Linked DNA regions of Arabidopsis thaliana. The protein of the gene in region 1 binds, or shares a complex with, the protein of each later gene. Each region holds a gene or a part of one and is shown in the gene's direction. Other genes may lie near its edges.

Region 1 (3,570 bases):
CATTTCTTTACATGAGAAATAAAGCAGCTTCAACAAAACACAATGTGTTAGTCTGTTGTCACTCAATAACACAAAAGTTGAAATAAATCATCAAAAGCCCCAAGTGAATCTCATTCTCGATAAGCAAAAAAAAAGAAGAATGTTATTTATAAGGAAAGAACAATATATAGAGGAGGCTGACCTCTAGAGTGTGGCTAGATAAGTGAAGGATTCTAACATTTCTGATTCCATTGATGAGATTTCTCATATCAGCGGGAATGGAACCGAGAGATCCATTTCTTACTCCCACCATTCTTGTTTCATCCATCCGAAGATTGAGTCTAGCTTCGATGAGGGAATCCAACTTAACATTAGGATACTTACCCAAAACATAACCAGAGTGTTTGTAGTAGATAAGATTAGGAGCATCTAATGAAATACTAGTAAACTTGCGATCAAATCGGATGTGTAGTCTCTTTAGAGATGGAGAAGACACGGAACAAGTCCAATCTACACATCGCCGCTCCTCAACAACCAGTTCTTCGAGAACAGGACAGCGAGATATAAGAGTTCCAACAACATTATGACCTCCAACAAAATTAACTGAGTCAAGACATAATGTCCTAAGCAAAGGAAGAGAAACATCTTGAGAAAGCTTGATTGTAAAACCACGTCCTACTCTCAGCTTAACCAATGTCTTGCTCTTAAAGATCATTGCAGGCACTGGTGGAGATTTTCCTTTTAAAGTAATGAACACATCAAGATCCATAACACCATGGTCAAGAACGTTGCAAATCCAACTTTGAATGCGAGATGAATCAGTGCCACCTCGAACACCAACATGACTCTTTAGAGTGAGCTTCTTTATAGAAGAACCACGTTGCGTATCTAGCAATTTGTCAACGAAAGCCATGTAATTTCTGTGAATCTCAATCCGGTTTTGCTTAGTCTTAGGCACAGATTGACGATCATCAATATCAAGATTGGAAACCAAAACAAACATGTTCTTCCACCTCTTAGAGAGTACTGAGGTTGAAACAGCTTCTTTTGTGGAGATAAGAGACAGAATACGCCCAAGAACCTCATCTGGTAGACGGCTGATTACATCTTTAGCATTCATTGATACCAAAACCTTAAAACCACAGCAATTGGATTCAGAAACAGTAACTAGACAGAGTTGATGAGTTCAAAGGTCTGTTCTTTTTCATACAATGCAAAGTCTAATACAAAAGTTATCATGTATCTCTTCAATCACATTGATTACCATAGAAATGAAAAAGACGAAACAGAGCAGACAACATACCTTGCTAAAGTGCTACTTGCTACAGAGTCGTGAAAGCTCTCCACTTTCAATACCAATTTAATCGTGAGATCAAAAGTGAAAACATCGAATACTAGGGTTTTGGAAAGTTTAAGAGAAGAGACGAAGAAACTGAAACAACTTATTATAAGCAATTTCCTCCATTTCCACATGAGGAAAGAGTAAAGCAGAAAGACTGATGAAGAAAAGGTAAGTAGTCTGTTTGGGAAAGAAAGTCACGTGAGAGAAGCGTGGGCCTTTAAGGGTAAAACTGTCATTTAAATAGTCGCCGTTCTTTACACTTAGGATTAGGGCTTCTAACATTTAAATAGTCGTTTCGTTCTCCGTCTCTCCTTTCCCGTCGGCCGGTGATAATTTCGCAACCCAAATTCCAAATGGTAAGTTTCAGTTCTTGGATTTGTATGATTTTGTAATGTGAATAGGGATTTGAAGATTTACTTACTTTTGAAATTCAGGCGTCGGAGAAGAAGCTATCGAACCCAATGAGGGACATTAAAGTGCAGAAGCTGGTTCTCAACATCTCCGTTGGTGAGAGTGGAGATCGTCTCACCAGAGCCTCCAAGGTTCCTCCTGTTTTTTACCCATTCTCTGTGGTTTTCACTCTTGTTGTCACTTGGTTATAATCGATTGATTCGTGGTTACTTGGTAGGTTTTGGAACAATTGAGTGGTCAGACTCCTGTTTTCTCCAAAGGTTAGATTTTTTCTCATATTTGAAAGCTTACAAATAGTCTGGTTGATAGATTTAGTAATCTAGAAGAATTTGGGAAACATAGTTTAGTTAAGTCTATGAATGGGTGCATGGTTTGATGATGAATTTGAGATTTTGGAATCCAGTAAGTCCCTTATCTGGTGGTTTGTGATAACTTGATAAGCCTACCAGTCCAAATTAGGAGCTGTTCGTTTCCCCGCTTCTGATATAGTTGCGTTGTGCACTCTGTTTTATATGCATCGCTTTTGGTTTGCTCTGAGAGACATGATTTGGTTTAGCTTCTTCCATTGCAATTTTCAAGAACCCTTGTTATGTGTGGCTTTTGCAGCTAGATACACTGTTCGTTCTTTTGGTATCAGACGTAACGAGAAGATCGCATGCTATGTAACCGTCAGAGGTGAGAAGGCAATGCAACTACTTGAAAGTGGATTGAAAGTCAAGGAATACGAACTTCTCAGAAGAAACTTCAGTGACACTGGTTGCTTCGGTTTTGGTATTCAAGAACACATTGATTTGGGTATCAAGTAAGTCAATCCCCTTAAATCATCCTGTCATAACACTTGGGGTTCACCACATTCTTGGTGATACTCATTGATCTTTGTTTCACTTCTTATAAAGGTACGATCCATCAACTGGAATCTATGGTATGGACTTCTATGTGGTCCTAGAACGTCCTGGCTACCGTGTAGCACGTCGCAGAAGGTGCAAGGCTCGTGTTGGTATCCAACACAGAGTAACTAAAGACGATGCAATGAAATGGTTCCAGGTGAAATACGAAGGAGTCATTCTCAACAAGTCCCAGAACATCACTGGCTAAAACAATTCCTCCTAACTCTTTCTTCTGTTTTAGAAAACCCTGTCTCAGTTTTGTTTACTTGTCTGAATCTTAATCTTTGTACTTTATATGCATTATTGGCTTTAGTTTCAGTTATTTAAGTATCTAATTTCGTGTGAGGATAAGCAAGATAAGAAAATTTTGGCGGGTAGTTGAAGCGTGTGGAGACATATAAATCCACTAGCTGACACGTGCCACGGACGGCTAAGCACGCTTTCGCCGATCGCCGATCGCCGCTAGATTCATCTCGGATTCCTCCAAATAAGCTTCCCTGGTTCTTATCTTGCCACGTCAGCATTTCTCCCTCGTACGCCTTAAATTCTTCACAAAAATAATAAAAATATTAATTCAAATAAATGTTCATCTTCTCCTACGAATGAAATTGAAATTAATTTGAGCGATCGGAACAGGATCGGGTCGGATCTTTTGAAGTTCTTCAATGGCGCAGATACTTTCCCCTGTTTGTACGGATCTTTTGAAGTTCCAGAACTCAGCTCTTAGCTCCAGATCAGGTGCGTCGCCGCGGTTCTCGGCGAAGACCACCGGTGCTTCTTCATCTTGGTACTTACCTCGGTACGCAGGAAAGAGGCGAACCGATTCAATCGGAAGATTGAGAGTTGCAACTGAGGATGCTTCTTCTCTTTCCACCGGTGATGTCGCCGATGATTACTATGCCGTTCTCGGACTCGTAAGAACCAAGGCTATTTCAATCCGATTTGATATAT
Region 2 (4,079 bases), 9.3 Mb from region 1:
CCATCCAGGGAGAGGGAGAGAGCTAGTCATGTTCACCCCAACCTCCCAGAATATGACGATATCTTTGCAAGGCTCGGAGCGCTTCGTGCTCCCAGTCGACGCTGAATCTGCTCATCTTGTCCTTCTGTTCATATATATATTCTTTCACACGGAAAACAGTTCCCCTCATTCTTTACTCTGACTGAATTTGATATTCTTACACGTTATACAGATTGAAGTAGTGGTGTGATTCTGCTTGGTCTTGATTGGTTTTCCTTGTCTTTTTTTTTTTTGTGTGGATAAACAGAATAGAAAATAACTATTTGCGAAGAGAAAGATTTTATAATACCATTCGAAATGTTGTCATAATAGAAATAAATTTTGTTCTCTAATTCTCCATCTTGCTGAAACTGCAGTGCAAGAAAACAAACAAACAAACAAACAATGTCGAAAAAGCCAGACAAATGACATGTTATGGCAGGGTTTGACATATCAAAGTCCCTCCATCAGAGTTTCTTTCCGTATTGCAGTTCAATGAAAGAAACCAAGAACCTGACCACCCACATTCCGTTTAATAGCTTCTTCATGATCCAAAATGCCATCGGGAGTTGTAATCACTATATAACCCCACTGCATATAACAAATTAAAGAAGGTTTAAGTTACGATTAGTTGCATATTCAGAACTAGTGTAGAACCGAACCTGGCGCGTTGGAAGTGTGCGTTCTGTGTATTGCCCGATCTCATTTGCCTTAACGTCCTGCCTATAAGTGAGAGCTTTGCAATCATTAACCCTTCCTTGTAGATCAACAGTTATTCTTCCAACTCTGTGTGGATCATGGACTTGGAAGTTCTTGATGTACCCTATACATAATACATCAACATACATTTTGTAAAGTAATAGACAAAAAACTAGCTGATTCTGCGGTTTGAGCATAGAAATGGTATCTTTATACTTCAGTCACAAACTATCAACTTTGAAAAGAACTACTTCAAATTCCTAACTAAAAACATACAAAACACAGACGAAGATCGAAACAAACTTAAGTTAGACCATAAACTAAACAGGAGCAGATATGACTTTCTCCAACCATAGATCAAGATGTAACTTATCCATAAGAATCAAAAAACAGAAACTTTTCAATCTTCTGCAACTTCATAGTTAACCAAGAACAAAGCTTAATCATTGGGACCATGTTGTAACCAATCTCTTACATCGAGTGATCACACATGGAAATTCTTGAGCTATACGTGTTAGGATCAGCTCAAGGACCAACAAAACAATAGAGACTATGGATCATTAATCATACTTCACTACAAGCAAAAGTGACTAAAACCAATGTCGACGAAACTGATAAATCTAAACAAGTAGATGAAAAATTAGGGAAATGAATTAAGACCCAATTAGACCAGAAGAAAGAAGAAGTGAAAAATCTCACCTTTCTCTTTCATGATTTTGAGAAACGAAGACATTACGGTAGAGACAGGTTTCAACTCCACCGAAGCTTTCCCTCGCTTCTCAGCATTCACGATCGTTCTCAATGCATCGTTCAATATTCTCCTCCCCATTGATCGAAAATTCCGATTTCTAATACAAATTCTATAATCGAATGACAACGAATCAAAAAGAATCGATAACCCCTAAAGTTCAACAGAGCAGCAGGAAATGGGTTTATTCCAACGTTTCTCAGAATTGTGGGTATTTCGACATTTCGAAAAACATTAGGGGTATTTTAGACTTTTCACGTTCACTTACATGAGCTAGGGTTTTATTTTTTTCAGAGGTCATATATAAATAGCTCCATTCGTCTTCTAACAAAGCTCCGGCGCCACCATTAAAATCTCTCGATCTCTATCTGCGAAATTTCACGGTGAGCTTAGTATTACTCTCAATTGTTCTCAGTTCAGTATGTCTTGATTTTCGTAGCTTAGATGATCTGATTTTGTGTAGATATTTTGATTCAGCGAGCTCTATAGTAGTAGCCTTTAGGAATCGATCTGTTAATGTATGTGTTGTTGATTGGTAGTATCATTTTTGGTGTGGTGAAGGTAGGTATTTGAAATGGCGACAGTTCCAGGACAATTGATCTGGGAGATCGTGAAGAACAACAACTGTTTCTTGGTGAAGCAGTTCGGTAGAGGAAACTCTAAGGTTCAATTCAGCAAGGAGACTAACAACCTCACCAACGTTCACTCTTACAAGCACTCTGGTAAATTTGTACTCTTGTTTACGAGATTCTTTGTTTCTGAACGAAATGATATCTTGGCCATTTGAGAACAAATGATTACTTTACATCTCTGGTTGGTTGATTTAGTAGAATAGATTGGGAACTAAAGTTGTTAAGAAATGTTGATGTGTTAAGTGCTTTTGGTTCTATGAAAGATTGTGGATTCTCGACTATTAGATGATTGTGGTTGAAACTTGGCTGTTTGAGATCGTCTTTATGCACTATTTTATTGATTCTCGAGTATAAGCTTATTTTCTTATCTGTTGCAAGTTGACCGTGAAATGTAGTTTCTTTACATTTGACCATTTGAATCTGTATTACAATTGTGTATGTATCTTCTAATTTAAAGACAAAAATGGTAGTCTGAGTTGAGCAGACACTTCATACTATGTATTAGGTTTTGTTATTGTCTTGAATTAGGCTAAAGTTTGAATCTTTTGATGTGGTTTCAGGTCTTGCAAACAAAAAGACTGTGACCATCCAGGCCGCTGACAAGGACCAAGCTGTTGTGCTCGCCACCACCAAGACCAAGAAGCAGAACAAGCCTAAGCTCTCTGTCAACAAGTCTATCCTCAAGAAGGAATTCCCCAGGATGTCAAAGGCTGTTGCTAACCAGGTATTACTCAATTTTTATTACTTTAGTGTTTTTTATATGTCTATGGTGTGCTTATAGGTCTCTATATCTAGTTTTGTGTGTTATTTTCACGGCTATGATCTACAATTGGTTTTTATGTTCTTCCCTCTACCTGTGAGAGGAGAGTTAATATGTTATGGTAAAACGATATGATGCATAGCTGTGCAAAGATTAAAATTTAACTTCATATAAGGCTCCTTTTTGTGGCATATTGATGAAATATTAATTTTACACTTGGCTATTTTCATTGATCTGCTTAATGTTGCTGTTTATTGGTTTCATACGTGAATACAATCTAAACCAAATGATTGTGTAAATGTTTAGGTGGTGGACAACTACTACAGGCCGGACTTGAAGAAAGCTGCACTTGCTAGACTCAGCGCCATCAGCAAAGGTCTCAGGGTTGCCAAGTCCGGTGCCAAGCAAAGAAACAGACAAGCTTAAGCTTCTTCTTTCACAATCTGTTTTTTTTGAAGTAAAAGATTTTGTTGAACAGGTTTTATTTAAGTTGTTGCTTTGAAGTTGAACCATAATGCTATTCTCCTTTTTCATTATCCTTATTATAAAGGAGTTAGAAGTTTATCTTGTTATGCTTGATGTTTCTGGTGTGCTTGTGTTACATTTTGTTAGATCCTTTTATCGAATCAAGAACTTTCTTAAAATCTCTATTCTAGATTTTATTAGCAAATCAAATGTAATCAACAACCAAGTCCTTATATATTATGACTTTTGAAAGCCTAAATTGACTCAAAATAGCAAACATAAATGTTTAGATTTGTTGCATCAAATGTGATGTTCTTGTGGACTATAATGTTGACATTTTCATTAGATCCCATCAAAAACCAACTTGAGAATTCCATCTTAGCATGCTCTATACTTATCCAAAAGCCCATCAGGCCCATAGACGGCCCAACTTATAGCATACGGAAAGGTTTATATTAGGGTTTCTTAGACATGAATTAATTCTGTTCTCTTGCTGTGGCCGTCTCCAACACCATTTCGAAGACCAGGGAGATCGAAGCAAAATGGAGAAAGGAAAGGGAAGAAAGGAAGAGGTCGTGACCAGGGAGTACACTATCAATCTCCACAGGCGCCTCCATAGCTGGTAAAACCTAAAGCTTCAATACTTTTGACCTTATTTGCAATATCTCGTTTCCGTTTTGCTTAAGTTCGTTCTGGGCATAGAGTCTAATGATTAGACTAAAATTGCAACTTGTATTGATTCGAATTAGGTTTCTTG

The links. The genes of interacting proteins can lie anywhere in the genome.
Region 2: RPL16A (region 1) and AT2G19730 share a complex: the UniProt entries of both Arabidopsis thaliana proteins name them as parts of the large ribosomal subunit.

What each region holds. Positions count from the first base shown.
Region 1 is NC_003071.7:17,790,120-17,793,689, forward strand, and holds RPL16A (ribosomal protein large subunit 16A), read left to right. Parts: upstream 1-1,572; 5' UTR 1,573-1,674; coding exon 1,675-1,677; intron 1,678-1,755; coding exon 1,756-1,863; intron 1,864-1,949; coding exon 1,950-1,992; intron 1,993-2,338; coding exon 2,339-2,534; intron 2,535-2,628; coding exon 2,629-2,827; 3' UTR 2,828-3,023; downstream 3,024-3,570. Other genes in the region: AT2G42730 (F-box/FBD/LRR protein), read right to left, coding at 1-27, 182-1,099; AT2G42750 (DNAJ heat shock N-terminal domain-containing protein), read left to right, coding at 3,285-3,533. UniProt on the Arabidopsis thaliana protein: Component of the ribosome, a large ribonucleoprotein complex responsible for the synthesis of proteins in the cell.
Region 2 is NC_003071.7:8,509,713-8,513,791, forward strand, and holds AT2G19730 (Ribosomal L28e protein family), read left to right. Parts: upstream 1-1,773; 5' UTR 1,774-1,848; exon of another isoform or gene 1,849-1,879; intron 1,880-2,026; exon of another isoform or gene 2,027-2,030; 5' UTR 2,031-2,039; coding exon 2,040-2,187; intron 2,188-2,657; coding exon 2,658-2,821; intron 2,822-3,163; coding exon 3,164-3,283; 3' UTR 3,284-3,579; downstream 3,580-4,079. Other genes in the region: AT2G19710 (Regulator of Vps4 activity in the MVB pathway protein), read left to right, coding at 1-105; rps15ab (ribosomal protein S15A B), read right to left, coding at 511-609, 681-841, 1,417-1,546; AT2G19740 (Ribosomal protein L31e family protein), read left to right, coding at 3,865-3,944. UniProt on the Arabidopsis thaliana protein: Component of the large ribosomal subunit. Essential in leaf polarity establishment, probably having a role for translation in leaf dorsoventral patterning to specify leaf adaxial identity.